Linked DNA regions of Schizosaccharomyces pombe. The main gene of each other region encodes a partner of the protein of the gene in region 3 in a complex. Each region holds a gene or a part of one and is shown on either strand. Other genes may lie near its edges. The genes, in order: mrp5, mrps18, mrp4 and snr1.

Evidence for each region.
Region 1: mrp4 (region 3) and mrp5 share a complex: the UniProt entries of both Schizosaccharomyces pombe proteins name them as parts of the mitochondrial small ribosomal subunit.
Region 2: mrp4 (region 3) and mrps18 share a complex: the UniProt entries of both Schizosaccharomyces pombe proteins name them as parts of the mitochondrial small ribosomal subunit.
Region 4: mrp4 (region 3) and snr1 share a complex: the UniProt entries of both Schizosaccharomyces pombe proteins name them as parts of the mitochondrial small ribosomal subunit.

Annotation. Positions count from the first base shown.
Region 1 is NC_003424.3:2,283,936-2,287,893, reverse strand, and holds mrp5 (mitochondrial 37S ribosomal protein uS5m), read left to right. Parts: upstream 1-1,880; 5' UTR 1,881-2,100; coding exon 2,101-3,049; intron 3,050-3,176; coding exon 3,177-3,391; 3' UTR 3,392-3,412; downstream 3,413-3,958. Other genes in the region: SPOM_SPAC4G9.19 (DNAJB family protein), read right to left, coding at 1-517; rpl901 (60S ribosomal protein L9), read left to right, coding at 3,685-3,958. UniProt on the Schizosaccharomyces pombe protein: Component of the mitochondrial ribosome (mitoribosome), a dedicated translation machinery responsible for the synthesis of mitochondrial genome-encoded proteins, including at least some of the essential transmembrane subunits of the mitochondrial respiratory chain.
Region 2 is NC_003424.3:4,966,423-4,969,756, forward strand, and holds mrps18 (putative mitochondrial ribosomal protein subunit S18), read right to left. Parts: upstream 1,441-3,334; 5' UTR 1,335-1,440; coding exon 801-1,334; 3' UTR 568-800; downstream 1-567. Other genes in the region: SHREC complex subunit Clr2, read left to right, coding at 1-467; gab1 (Pig-U family GPI transamidase subunit), read left to right, coding at 1,724-2,115, 2,343-3,177. UniProt on the Schizosaccharomyces pombe protein: Component of the mitochondrial ribosome (mitoribosome), a dedicated translation machinery responsible for the synthesis of mitochondrial genome-encoded proteins, including at least some of the essential transmembrane subunits of the mitochondrial respiratory chain.
Region 3 is NC_003424.3:3,064,778-3,068,057, forward strand, and holds mrp4 (mitochondrial 37S ribosomal protein uS2m), read right to left. Parts: upstream 1,490-3,280; 5' UTR 1,433-1,489; coding exon 641-1,432; 3' UTR 549-640; downstream 1-548. Other genes in the region: SPOM_SPAC24C9.09 (threonine--tRNA (Thr) ligase), read left to right, coding at 1-414; sgd1 (ribosome small subunit biogenesis protein), read left to right, coding at 1,811-1,880, 1,930-3,280. UniProt on the Schizosaccharomyces pombe protein: Component of the mitochondrial ribosome (mitoribosome), a dedicated translation machinery responsible for the synthesis of mitochondrial genome-encoded proteins, including at least some of the essential transmembrane subunits of the mitochondrial respiratory chain.
Region 4 is NC_003423.3:2,978,946-2,982,950, forward strand, and holds snr1 (mitochondrial 37S ribosomal protein mS47 ), read left to right. Parts: upstream 1-2,056; 5' UTR 2,057-2,116; coding exon 2,117-3,406; 3' UTR 3,407-3,495; downstream 3,496-4,005. Other genes in the region: mmp1 (endopeptidase catalytic subunit), read right to left, coding at 1-179, 227-353, 397-524; yml6 (mitochondrial 54S ribosomal protein uL4m), read right to left, coding at 716-1,501; fib1 (fibrillarin, rRNA and histone methyltransferase), read right to left, coding at 3,819-4,005. UniProt on the Schizosaccharomyces pombe protein: Component of the mitochondrial ribosome (mitoribosome), a dedicated translation machinery responsible for the synthesis of mitochondrial genome-encoded proteins, including at least some of the essential transmembrane subunits of the mitochondrial respiratory chain.

The DNA.
Region 1 (3,958 bases), 780 kb from region 3:
CATCGTCAAATTTTCTGTTTTTATTAGAAGCATTTTGGTCATTCATATAATCATAGGAATTGTAGTAGTATTCTTCCCAAGACCCCATACCAGCAGAACGACGAGATCTTGAATAGGTAGGATACCTCGCTTGAGACCAATTTTGAGGCGAGGGATGTGTAGGATGAGACGGCTGATTCCAGTGAATTCCAAATCTATCGTATTCCTCACGACGTCTCTTATCAGATAGTAAAGCGTTGGCTGCCAGCAATAAACGAAAGTACTCTTCGTTGTGCTTATTAATTTCTGGCGGAGATTCCGTAGGCGCTAGCTGAGATGCATTCTTCATTTTGTCAGGATGATGCTTCTTAACCAGCTCAATATATTTTCGTTTAATGTCATTAGCCGTACACGTACGAGGTAGTTCCAAAATTTCATAAGGCGTCAATGACTTCAATTCGGAATAGGAAGTAAAACTGGCTGCTCGCCTCCATAAGCTATTTCGCACAAGATTTAACCGAAAAAATATCTTTGACATGTTCAAAACTTGTTCCAACAGAGGCGACGTTAGTTTCTGGATACGATGGAAGCTTTTATGTAGTTAATATTCAACTGAGTAAGATATCAATGTTGCTTCATTGAATGCAAACCGGCTGATCGAGCGCTGCTTTTTTTAAAGTAAAAACCGCAAGATACTCTGGTTCTATATAGTTTTAAAGCTGGATATGTAAAAGGAAGCTGGTTTGGTAAATATTTCAAGAGTTGGTACCATATCCGTCTGCTATCCCTATTTCGTGCCCTTGCTATACTACGTGGGCGAATCGCAGAGTTGTTGAGCTGCACCAACGAATGAGAAGGAAACGCAGGAAAATGTAAAGATTTAGAGTAATGGTATTTAGTAATAACAAACTTATTTTTATTTTAATATTCTTTTAAGAAAATACAAAATTTAATCGCAAACGAATTGAAATATTTTGGAAATTCTTTTTTATTGCCTTTCAAGGACGCCTTTCCTTCGTTAAAGACGCATCATTCTTTTATCGATAGATTTGAAAAAGAAGATCTTTAGTTTCAATCGTACAACACAATTCTTGCTACACGGTGTTTTTTGTTTGTTTGCATTTCGCGTTTCTTTGACCTACAACGTTGAATAGCGTCGCATTGGTGACTTACCTTGGAAATACGTTATTTATTTTCCGTTCGTAATTCTCAAAATTACAGGTTTGCCGTGGATTAAAAGATAATTTGGTCCACGCTTGCTCTTTAACTATCTTGATTGCCCTAATTGTTGTTTCTTTTAAAAAATTTCTAGAATCTTAAGTACTAAAAAAATTTGCCGAAGAGTAATTTTGAGGATAATATGGAAGTGACTATTATTTTGCTTTATTTAAAAGATTCTTTTTTTTCTCTTTTGCCTATCATGTATCCTTTTAATCATATAGTTAGGTTGAAATCAGTGATCTTTTCAATTCATTTCTTCCATGTACAATTTCAGCCGCCGCTTGTTTACAAATATAATGAGCTATTTCAAATTGTTCATTGCATCGCTAACTACGTATATTTGCTTGTAGTTCGTGCACCGTATTCATATTTATGAAGTCGAATGTACTACATTAAATGGGTGCCTTAGAAGCGTTCTTTGTAAACGGAGGATGATGAAAGGAAATCAAGAGAGAGAACTCAGAAAAAAAGGAGTTGTTAACCAGACGATAAATCAGAATTACAAGACGAGCTGATCCTAGAAAGTGATGTGCGGTTTTATGTACTTTGTCCATACCACTACTAAATAGGAACAGTAGCGAATCGTACCGAAGCGCCCTAACTACAACCAATGCCAAAGTGGTAAGTAGTTTCACGGCTGAGACAGTTATAAATTTATTTGTGCGATTCAAAAAGCATTTAAACTCATCGATAGCATTTTTTTTTGACTGAGTATCTCTTAGGGTTTTCCTCCCGTCTTTATAGCGTTAGTGACACCCTTGGTTGCAAAGTGCAATAAATATATAGGTGGTTCGGCTTTTATAAAGCGATTCCAGGAAATATTCTTACTTTCACTGCTAAGGTTCACTAAAAATTCATGATCATAACTTAAAAAATAATTTTTTTATTGATTTAATTACGATGTTACGCTCATTTTCACATTTTCTACAAATTGGCTCGAGGCGGCAGCCAACTTATTTTCGGTGTTTCCATAAAACTACCGTACATCTTAACTCTTTTAAGAATGATCCCAAAAAGGAATTAAATTCCAATTTAAACGAAAAATCCGTAGAGGAATCATCCAAGAATGAAACCAAGGAACAATTTAACTCATCGTCTATACCAAGAGAGAGTGAATCTGAAGGTAAAACTGCGTCAAATACTTCCCCATTATCACCAAAAAAGGTAGAAAATCTCAGCAAGCTTTTTAACGACATTAATGAAGATGTTTCTATCGAAGAGTTAAAGTCTCGTTTCAAAGATCACCTTCCTTTCTATGAAAACTACATTCGTAATCATCCTCTAGCCATTGAAGCACTCCAAAAGTCTACAGCACCACGTCAAACTGGTTTGAAATTGAACTATGTATCAAAATTGGATAAATATGTCACTCCTTTAGATGGATATTCTCATTTAGGATCGGAGGAGTCTAACGGGGAAATTCCTGATAAGTGGGAGGATTTTAAAGATGACCTCACGTTTGAAATTTCTTCAAAGTTTTCCCCATTTGATTTTGGCGATGCTGGTAAGAGCACAAGTGACGCTGAGTTTCTCTCGGATATTAGTGGAATCCCAAAGTCAGATCTCAGAGCCTTAATGTTCGTTCCCCTTGTAAGAAGACGTGTTGTTAATCAAACCCGTAAGGGAAAAATTGCCAGTATGTACGTACTGACTGTTGTCGGTAATCGAAATGGTGTTGCTGGTTTTGGTGAGGGAAAAGCCGAAAGCTATTCATTAGCATACAAACAATCATGTGGACGTGCTGTTAAAAATATGGTTTACATACCTCGCTACGATAAAAGGACTGTATATGGCGTTATTCATAAAAAATTTCATGCTGTCCGGTTAACATTACGATCTCGTCCAGCCGGTATGTTGTTCATTTGTTCTATAAATAATCTTTTAAAAGCTTAGACAGTTCTGTTTTCTGTTTATCGATTAGTTTTATTCGACATGTTTACTTGTCCTGCAATGACAATTTTACTAACTAAATATAGGTTTTGGACTTCGATGCAACCCCATCCTTCATGAGATCTGTAGATGCGCAGGTATAAAGGATATTAGTGGTGAGATACTTGGTTCTAAGAATGGAATGAATACTGTAAAGGCGATGTTTGAGGCTTTACAAAGTCAACGTCTCCCTGAGGATATTGCCATGGAGCGCGGCCAAAAGTTTGTTGATGTACAACGCGAGTATTACAAACAAACATGATAAAGTGACTTTTATTTTTTGTATAGATAAATATTCAATGCAGTCAGTACTCTAATTCTTTACTTCTGGAAACCATTGTGCAGCTTTGTTGTGCAAGATATTCATCTACATCCAATTTGTATCATTATTTCTTTAAACATCGTACATCATTAAAGTCTGAATAAGCTCGTTAATTATAACGTACTACAAAACTCCTATCACTCAACCCTACCCTAGCTAAGAAGTACAGTCACAGGCCTTCGAAACGGAAATTATCTTAGACAAAATTAACGACACCACCAACACTTTGCAGGATGGGACGTGATATATACAAGGACGAGACTTTGACAATCCCCAAGGGTGTTACTGTTGACATTAAGGCACGTAATGTTACAGTTACCGGTCCTCGTGGTACTCTCAAGCAAAACTTGCGCCATGTTGATATTGAAATGAAGAAGCAAGGCAATACTATTAAGTTCATTGTCTGGCACGGATCTCGCAAACATAATGCTTGCATCCGTTCCGTCTATTCTATCATTAACAACATGATTATCGGTGTCACCCAAGGTTTCCGCTACAAAATGCGTC
Region 2 (3,334 bases), 1.9 Mb from region 3:
TATGTGTTATATCCACATCTTCACTGCCATCTGTACTTCAAAAAACAAGTTTTATGTACATATCTGATATTTATGTAAACGAAGATGACATTGTCTGTTTCCAAGGCTCACTATGGACACAAATTGACAAAAATGCACTCGATTATAATGACAGCGCTGACAATATTGATGAACATAAGGATGACTTAAAAGAATTACCAAGAAGATTACAAATGGTATCAAAACTATCAAACACATATTTTCGTTGCCTGCATGATAAATCTGTCGAGTACGTCTGCCCATTCGCAGATGTTTTGGGAAGATGGTATGAGCCTTGGTTCGTAAAAGGAGATTTAAATTACACTTCAGAAGTGAAAGAACGCACATCCAGTCGATTATCAGCAGTAGGCTCTGAAAATTGGGTCGATGACGATTTTTATGAATATTTACTGTCTGAAATTGATATGGTGTCAGCAGTTGTAATGTAATAAGTATGGCAGATAAAATTAGATATAGAAGTGTCTACTTATTGATCAGTGACGGTCATTATTTATAATGTAAATAATATGGGAATAATAATGTCTTTTGCATTTCATAAATTACAGAGAAAGATAGGTAAAAACTATTTGTGTTGAATTAGAGATGGGATATAGTTTTTTTTAAGAAATCATGTTGCACTATCACACCGGTATTAATAAATCATTTCTAAGTTCAGAAGGTCAAATACAACGGTGGAAAAGCACCAACAATGTTGGGCAGCAGATTAACTGCACAGGAAGATTACGTAAACGAAGAAAACAGAAAAGTAATATAAACATACTTCATATGCGTCGCTCCCTTCTACCTCTCGGTCCTCCAAATTTAATAGGTGTTCGATCCATAACCTTTACAATTTTGTCTCGAATTACGGCACCTTCTTGCCCTAATAAACAATTTTGTACTGCTTCCCTGGCCTGACTAAAACCATGAAATATAACATGCAAATTTTCAATACCAAGGCGCTTTACTTGGATTTGTTCCAGCACCTTGGAGCAAATGGTATAAGCAGCATCGTAGCCACGGCGCTTTCCTTTACGAAAACCACAGGTTCCTCCAGAGGCCCTAAAAATAATTTTTCTTTCAGGAGAACAAAGTGTAATGTGAGTGTTGTTCTTCAAACATTTGGCATGAAGGTAAAATGGCATTGGAATGGTATCCGTACCTTGCATAATCGGATTTGGCTCCTCCGTCCTTTTTGAAAAAGCTTTTGGAGTGATTGTGGATTCTAAAAGAGAAGAGAGTTCCTTTTTGGGCGCATTCCGCCTAGGACTCTGGCTCCAAAATCTTCGTAGTCCAACTTTTGTTAAATTAAGCATTAGATATTTGATGAAAAATAGCTTGCTAAGAACCGATTTGTAAACCAAAAATAAAATCAAAGAACTAAAAAATATGGATGAAAATGTAAAGGAAATGAAAAATGACAAATTGTAAGTAACCGAGTGCTTCAATACCATAATTTCTATACCAGGTAACTTATGTTACTCAACCTGTGGTAGTGGTATGAACGTGTAAATATTAACCTAAAACACTCTTCTCGTTTTAAAGAAAAAATAAAGAAATAAAAAATTAAAAATCTTACTTTGGTGGCTGCCTTAAAAGTTTTTCAAACGGATCATTTGGGATACCCAACGACTGTAATTTAAACGAAGATTGGTGAATTGAAAACACAAATATAACCCATCTTTTGAACAGTGAAGATTTTGCAATGATACCAAATGAGAAGCTAAAACTATTAGGTTTATTATCAATTTCTTTTTTTCTTCAATGGTATTTAGCAAACACTTGGATTGCTGAATTCCTTTACAGGCGAATCGAAGTATCGACGCCTGTATCCGGATTTTTACGTGTTCGTGAAGGACTTTACTTGTATGAAAACGGACTAGACCCCTATTCTGGTGGTGTTTTCTATCAGTCTCCACTTCTACTGATCTTAAATTATTGTTGTGAGTTGCTTGGAGGAATATCTGTCACCAGATTTGTTTATACTAGCATTTCTACTATGGGAGGTCTCTTTGTGTATTTAATTGCAAAACAAGCTCGTGTTTTAGACCCAAATCAAGTACTATCTACTTGTTCACCATTATGGATTTCCGTCATGTAAGTTACGCATATGGCTTGCGACAAAAAAAGTGAGACATTCTTCAAAAAAATGAAAAGCATTGTATCGTTGGTTTACAAAATTGTTAACGATGACTGTTCAAAGATTGAACTGCGTTGATTACACAGATTTCGTAGTCGATATTGAAAATGTGTACTTCTGTGATATATTTGTGTCGCAAACAAGTATCCTTAACTCAAAATTTACTAACAAAATATTACTTTAGTTATCTGCTTAACCCATTAACATTTCTTCCAGGAATTGCTTGCTCCGCAGACATGATACTTAATTTCACCACTCTAATGACCATTTATTTCGCCTCTTGCGGATCCTATGCAATTTATGCATGCTGTATGGCATTGACTGTATTCATTAATCCTAACGCTTTACTGTTATTTTTCCCCTCCTATCTTATTTTAAGAAAATGCAATTCATCCATTAAATTTCGTCAGATATTCGTTGTTTTTCTTTTTTATCTTGCAGGTCTGATAATAACTTCAGGCTTCTTTCTGAACTCGTTATCTTTTTTGAAAATTCCATTTAGGGTATACTTGGACTCTCATGATCTAACTCCGAATTTGGGTCTCTGGTGGTATTTTTTTACAGAAATGTTCAATGAATTTCGCACATTCTTCCTTTTTGTATTTGCCATTTTACCATTGATGTTTGTTCTCCCTGTTTCGATCCGTCTTTATTATCTGCCCTTGCCTATTACTATTGCTCTTATTGGCCTGCATTCTTTATTCAAAGCTTACCCAAGTATTTGTGATCTTTCAATATTTTTATCTCTCCTCCCAATTTTTAATAAAGTCCAAGACCGAATGCGATATAGCTTGCTTACAAATAATGCTATTGTGTTTGCGCTTGTACTGGGATCTGCATTTTACCATTCTTGGATAACTCTTGGATGTGGAAATGCAAATTTTTATTACGCAAGTAACCTCATTCTTGCTCTTGGACTCTCTTTAAAAATCATGGACTTTCTCAAGGCACTGCTTTTGGTTGATTGGTATGCCAATCACCCACAGCATGAAAATATTCCATTAAAACAGGTTCAATAAAGTAATCTGTTAATTAGAAAATGATATTCTTAGGCTTCATCTATCCAATTTCATCATTAGAGCCTCACCTTTCTGACCTTACGAAACGACCTTTTCCAATTTAACGTTTAGAAATTATTTATTCATACATACAAATAGGAAATTTATATTTCATATT
Region 3 (3,280 bases):
TTAGAGCGCTTTATGGGAATCCTTATCGAGCATTTAAATGGACACTGGCCATTTTGGCTAAGTCCTAGACATGCTGTCATTTTACCAGTCAATCAAACAGATCGAATTCTAACTTATGCTAAGCAAGTACAAAAGGAATTGTCTAATCAGGAAGTCAATGAATCTGAATTTCTCCCACTCAATAAAAATACCTATTATGTGGACATAAACGCTGAAGCACAATCTATTGGCAAACGGCTACGTGAATCAAGACTTTTAAATTATAATTATGAAATTGTCATTGGAGAAGACGAAGTTGACAAAGAAATTCTCAGTGTATCTAGTAGACACAATCATAATTCAAGGGATACTAGAAAGATGACTATTCAACAATTGAAAAAAGAGTTTATAGAAAATGTGAAAGCATACCGATGATTTCCTTTCGCACAGCAAAATATGTCTGTCTTTAACAAAAATTTTGGCATCAAATCATTGAAATGTGATATATACGTTATCCATAATAATTTATTCTTTCTTTTTAACCTTTCGTTTACGAATCATTAATTTTATTGAATACTAGTGAAAATTAATCAGACCTTATCTTTAATCATGTTTAGAAAAATCAAAGAATACAGGCATTTTCAAAACAATGAGAGGGGAATCATAAAGGAAGTGTAAATTTATCTTTTTCGAAGGCTTGGTTAGCTTTTTGGTACTCTTGCTCAGCTACCCTACTCAGTAAACCAGCTATTAAATCTGTACACCGTAAAGAATCATCATTTGCTGGAATAGGATAGGTAACCATCCTTGGATCCGCATCAGTATCAATGATTCCAATTGTTGGAACATGAGTTTTCTGTGCCTCTAGACAAGCACTTTTGTTTTCTAATGGGTTTAGTATAACCATCAAATCAGGAAAGACATAACTTGGTTTTTTATCAGTTTGAATCAATTTCCCTCTATTATCTTTACATAAAATTGAACCGCCAAGCTTTCCTTGTACTTCTCTGGCATTGGTGAGAAGTCCTGGTAGCCAACGATCAAATATGTGATAACCTCTAGCACGTTTGGCAGCAGCAACGACAGAATCTTTCTGGCCGTTTCTGGTGCCAATGAACAATATAATTCCATTTTCTTTAGCTATTGATCTAACGACGGATATAGCTCTTCGTAGGTAAACCATGGTTTGATCCAATGATATTATGTGAATACCTTCTCTTTTACCATATATAAAGGGCTGCGTGTAAGGATTCCATATGGATGTAGAGTGTCCTAAATGAGCACCAGAAGACAACAATAAAGGAAGACTAAGTTGACTAGGAGGTGCCGGATTTCGAATGGATAATGTCGGTGAATAATGGGGAGCTACAACTGCACCTATTTTGTGATTCCAGTCACGTATTTTTAAACGACGAGCTACAAGTTGCTCCGGTGATAATTTCCGTGAAAGCATAATACAGACACGAATGACTCGAGCAAAATGAAAGCCCGTTTGGTGTAGTAGTACTTTAAGACTTTGAAATCGCTGCACGATTGCAACATTTCCACTTCGATATGCTTTATTAGTGTGATACTACATAGAGCGTTAATGTAAAATACAGCAGCAGAGTGACAACTTTAAATAGCATTAACAAATTGCGATATTGTATACAGTTCCATTAGCAGTGTTGTGAAATTCATTTGAAACGATACGCCAACTCGAGACTGAGGCCCAATTCTTCTCTTTGTAAAGCAATTATACCAGTTTTTGGTATCGTTTAATTGAAAAATTTGGTAGTTCTTGAGCTTTAGTATTAATTATCGTTTGTTTAATATTTAAACATTCGATAGTATGAGGCCAATTAAAAAAAGCAGAAGCTTAAAACTGCCCAAAAGTATTTTAGAAGAGATAGGAGAATCTGGTAAGCTTTTTTTTATAGATTTGGTCAGTATATTTAACCAAATTGATAGATTCGAGTGCTAGGCGGGGAAAGCGAAATCATAATCTACCTCATCGTGAAAAAAGAAAATTTGCTAGGATCTCTCGAGGAAAAAATGGTTATGAAAACCGGAAGATTACAGAAGAAGGTGATAGTAAGTCTTCTGAACTTAATGATGATTACTTAGATGCTCACAGAAAGTCATCTACAAAAAAAAAATCTTCACAGAATAAACAGGCAAAGGAGAGTAAATTACTCGATCCCATTGCTTTTCAGCATAAGATTGCTTTGGAAGAGGATGATCGTGAAATCGCTCATTTAGAAAAGATGCTTGGCATCAAAAGCAAAGATAAATCTGCTCACTCAAAAATTGACAAGGAATTTGGATGGCTTTTAGAAGACCTAGATCAAGAAATTGATGACATAGGCGTTCCGGGCACTGAAGATCCTTCATATGGTCATTCAGAAGACTCTGAAGTTTCAGACGATACAGGTGACCATGGTAGCGTTGATGAGTTGGAAAGTGAAAGGGAAGGAAATTCGGGTGAGGAGGAGGAAGAGTTTCATGGGTTTGAGTCTAATTCTGATGAATTCCATCAACCTGAAACTAAGCCGATTCGGATGGATCCTTTGAAGCCTGCAGTCCCATCCTTACCTAATGCGAACGTCGGCTCAAAGTATGTCCCTCCATCTTTACGGAAAAAATTAGGGGGAGATAAGGAGTCAGAAGATGCTCTGCGACTTCGTCGGAAATTACAAGGATCGCTAAACAAATTGTCTATCGCAAATATTTCTTCAATTATTAAGGAGATTGAAGTCCTTTACATGGAAAATTCAAGACACTCAGTCACGTCTACCATCACCAATTTGCTACTACAAACCGTAATGGGAAGAGAATCTATGCTAGATCAATTGGCCATAGTATATGCTGCGTTAGCCACTGCTCTTTACCGCATTGTAGGCAATGACTTTGGTGCTCATCTATTGCAAACCCTAGTGGAACGTTTTTTGCAGCTTTATAAATCAAAAGAGAAAGAACCTCTTTCTTCCCATAAGGAGACTTCTAACTTGATTGTATTTTTTGTTGAGTTGTATAATTTTCAACTTGTTTCATGTGTTCTTGTTTATGATTTGATTCGCCTTTTTTTACGCTCTTTAACCGAATTGAACGTTGAAATGCTGCTCAAAATTGTCCTCAATTGTGGAGGGCAGTTGCGATCAGATGACCCGACGTCTCTCCAAGATATTGTTACGGAAATGAATTTGTTATTAGCTTCAGCTGATCCATCAACCATATCTGTCCGTACAAAGTTTATGGTAGAATCGATCACTAATCTTAAAGAAAACAAAAAAACAAAAGTTGCCAATGCTAGCGCCCAATC
Region 4 (4,005 bases), on a different chromosome or scaffold from region 3:
TGGGGATGTGGCCATACACGAGCTATAACTTTAGCCTTAATAAGGCCCATTGGAACAGGTCCGTAATTTCGACTATCAAGTGAGTGAGCAATGTTATCTCCTGCAAGCCAAACATGACCTAAAGGTATAGTTATTTTTTTATTTGAAGAGGTGGGATCGACATAAATTGTATCTCCTGGCTATAAAATTAGTACAAAAAGGATAACGTTCCATGTGAAATACTCACCATTCCAATGATTCGTTTGCACACGTGTTGCTTTGAATCGGAAGGTTTTGCCGAAACAACAACATCTCCTACAGAACATGAACGAGCAAACCTACCATGCAATTTATCTAACAAAACGAATTCACCACTTTTTAAGTTAGAACCATAAATACAAAGCGTTATTTCAATACCCAGAATTTAATGTTGGCATCATACTTGGACCCGATGTCATTTGCACTTGAAAAAGATACTCATGAATTTGATGCACAAATGCAGCAATCTGAACGACGGCAATAGGAATACGGAACATGCCAGCCATTGTTAACCAAGAGGTAACTAATCAAGACAGTAAACTAAATAAGCCGAAATTAAAAAATTTAAACACGACAAGAGAAAGGATTGAAAAAAGAATTAATGATTGTGGATTATAATGTTTCCGTAACTACCAAAATCGGAAAATGTAGATTCATGAAATTCAAAAACAATTGAAAGATATGCGTTTATTTCATATCATAGAGATAAAGACGGTTCAGGTTTTGATTTCGTAAAAGAACTACTATTTGCATCAACATAAGCAGTCAGGGAAGCAGGTTGATCCATATCACTTAGTGTATTTCGTTGAGCAAACTTCTCTACAATTAACGACATGGCTTCAGAATCAATAAATAGTTTACCGAATTTTAGTGCATCTCGAACCTGAAACTCACCAACAGGAATAAAGGAGCAATGGTAGCCTAACTGTCTAGATGCAAGCAATAAATTATTATTTTTAAGGGACTCATCTTCAAAGTAATTATCGTTAAGGACAAAAAGTGCCTTCCCGTACTCGTGTCCTAACTTGTGTTGCTTCAAAACTTCAAGCAAAATCCGTGTTTTTGGTTGACTTAAGTTGATGGGATTTTCAAGGATGGTCAGTTCATTATTAATAAATCTTGTACTTAGCGCAATCCTCATTGCTAAATTATAAACTTGGGTTTGTAATTTTGTACTGAAATCTCTAGGCTTAGGACCATGTGATTTAGCACCACCTCTTCTTATAGGACTTGAGGCATCGCCTACCCGTGCATGTCCTGTACCTTTTTGTCGATAAAGTTTTCGACCGGAACAAGTAATTTCATTTCGGCGCTTTGAGCTAGCAGTGCCTTGACGGTCATTATCTGCTTCATAAATAACGGCACGATGCAAAATATCTCGACGAAATCTTTCTTGCAGGAAACTTCCGGGAATAAGAAAAAGACTCGCGGGCTCCAACGACGGAAATTTATATCGCACCAAGTGCAACATTTTTGCTGTCATTCTGATTAGTTTGTGAAATGGACGACTAGTACCTGAAGAATGGATGTATTTTACTTTCAATTAGTCTAACACAATGTACTAAGTATCACAATGCATTTCATTATAACATATTGTGCATTCAAAAGTATCGTAAAGCGTAAAGTATCGAGTTCATTAAATTACGTTGTTTTATGCAACAGGAACTTTATGACTGTATACTGTTAGATAAATTAATGATATCTCATTCATTACCTAAAATAGAAGAAATAATTATTTATACTATGTGATGTCGTACATTAAATATTTGGAATTTGCTCATTCTGACACCTTAAATTGTTGTTGCAAATAGCACCTGTGTATTACAATAACAGTTTTGAGTACTCAATGCTATGCAACAAGTGGTTTAAGACTTTTAAAATCGACAAACCCTGAGAAACTAAATTAATACTAAATATAGATTTTTTGAGACAAGTATTTGCCCAGCTAATGCATGGAAACCTACTTTGTTTTACGAATGGTCTTTTGTGATTTGTTATTAGTTCACAATTAAGAACACACTTCGTTATAAAGTAACGTAGAAGAGACGTTAACCGTCTATGCAAAAATAATCGGTGTTATTTAACTTGGTTAGCTTTCATGGGATTGAAATTAAATATCTCTAACGATTTGAAAAAATCTGGATTTATGTTAAGGCAATCCTTACTTAAAACAAGTGTGTCAAATTTCCTTTCTTTGAATGCAAGTAGCACCATGTCTAGAGCGTTTATTCGAAATCCAAAATTTTATAGCACTTCCTCAAATGATACAGTTTTATACGAGAGTAAAAATGGAGCAAGGATATTTACTTTAAACAGGCCAAAAGTATTGAACGCTATCAACGTTGACATGATAGATTCAATCCTACCAAAGCTAGTTTCATTAGAAGAATCAAATCTGGCCAAGGTAATTATTCTTAAAGGAAATGGTCGCTCTTTTAGTTCGGGAGGTGACATTAAAGCTGCAGCACTTTCAATACAAGATGGAAAATTACCTGAAGTTCGCCATGCATTTGCTCAAGAGTATCGATTAAGCCATACGTTAGCTACATACCAGAAACCAGTTGTGGCTTTGATGAATGGCATCACCATGGGAGGTGGATCTGGTTTGGCTATGCATGTTCCTTTCCGTATTGCGTGTGAAGATACGATGTTTGCTATGCCAGAAACCGGAATTGGCTATTTTACTGACGTGGCTGCCAGTTTCTTCTTCAGTAGACTACCAGGATACTTTGGAACTTATCTGGGATTGACATCTCAAATCGTAAAAGGATATGATTGCCTGCGTACTGGAATTGCAACTCATTTCGTTCCGAAGCATATGTTTCCTCATTTGGAGGACAGGCTTGCAGAGTTAAACACGTCTGATATTTCTAAAATCAATAATACAATCCTGGAATTTGCCGAATTTGCTAGCAGTTCACCACCCACTTTTACTCCAGACGTTATGGATGTCATTAATAAATGCTTCTGCAAAAATGATACCGTTGATATTATTCGTGCGTTAAAAGAATATGCTTCAAACACTAGTGCTTTAGCGGAATTTGCAAAATCTACCGTTAAAACATTGTATAGCAAATCTCCGACTTCAATTGCTGTTACCAATCGACTTATTAAGTCTGCTGCTAAGTGGAGTATATCTGAAGCATTTTACTATGATCATATCGTTTCCTATTATATGCTTAAACAGCCTGATTTTGTTGAAGGTGTTAATGCTCAACTTATTACAAAGACCAAAAATCCAAAATGGAGCAAATCCCATGAATATCACTTTAAAGATTTAGAAAACTATTTCAAGTTGCCTTCAGAATACAATAATGGGATATCTTTTGCTGCAAAAGGAAGACGTAAAACTCCCCTTTGGAATTATAAGACTTATCCTTATTTATAATCCCAAAGGTTACATAAATTAAATATTGTTCTTTATGTCTACTAAGTTTTTTCAGTATTATAATAAGATGATTTATTTCAAAGACCCTGTTATGTTTTAGCATGCGATAAAGCACATAACTCTTTTTAGCAGCTAAAAATAATGATAGCCATTTTAAATACTCATACTAAAACTCTTTTTCGGTAGCTGTGCGTACGATAGTTCAAAAAAAAGAATGCTAACGGCATTAATATATATTCCATAATTCCCATATTGGATCAAACAATGAGAAAATAATTGACAAAACTGCCAAACGCATACCCAAAATATATTTTTATTATTCCAATTGCTCACGGCCTTACCATAAGCTTTTCTAGCAAAAAAAATTATATGATAAACTAAAAAAGCATGCACTTATGGCATATATTTCTGTTTACTGATGTCTCAAGTATTTTCCTACGATGATACAGTGATCACGTTCGTAAGGCTCTAAAGTAAGTTGTTCTTGAGGTTTAATCTTTTCCTCTTGCATTTTCTTAACCTCACGAGCAAAAACAACAGCTGCATCAGCGGTAGAATCAATACAAGAAGCCTTAACAGAGATAACAACTCCACCTTCG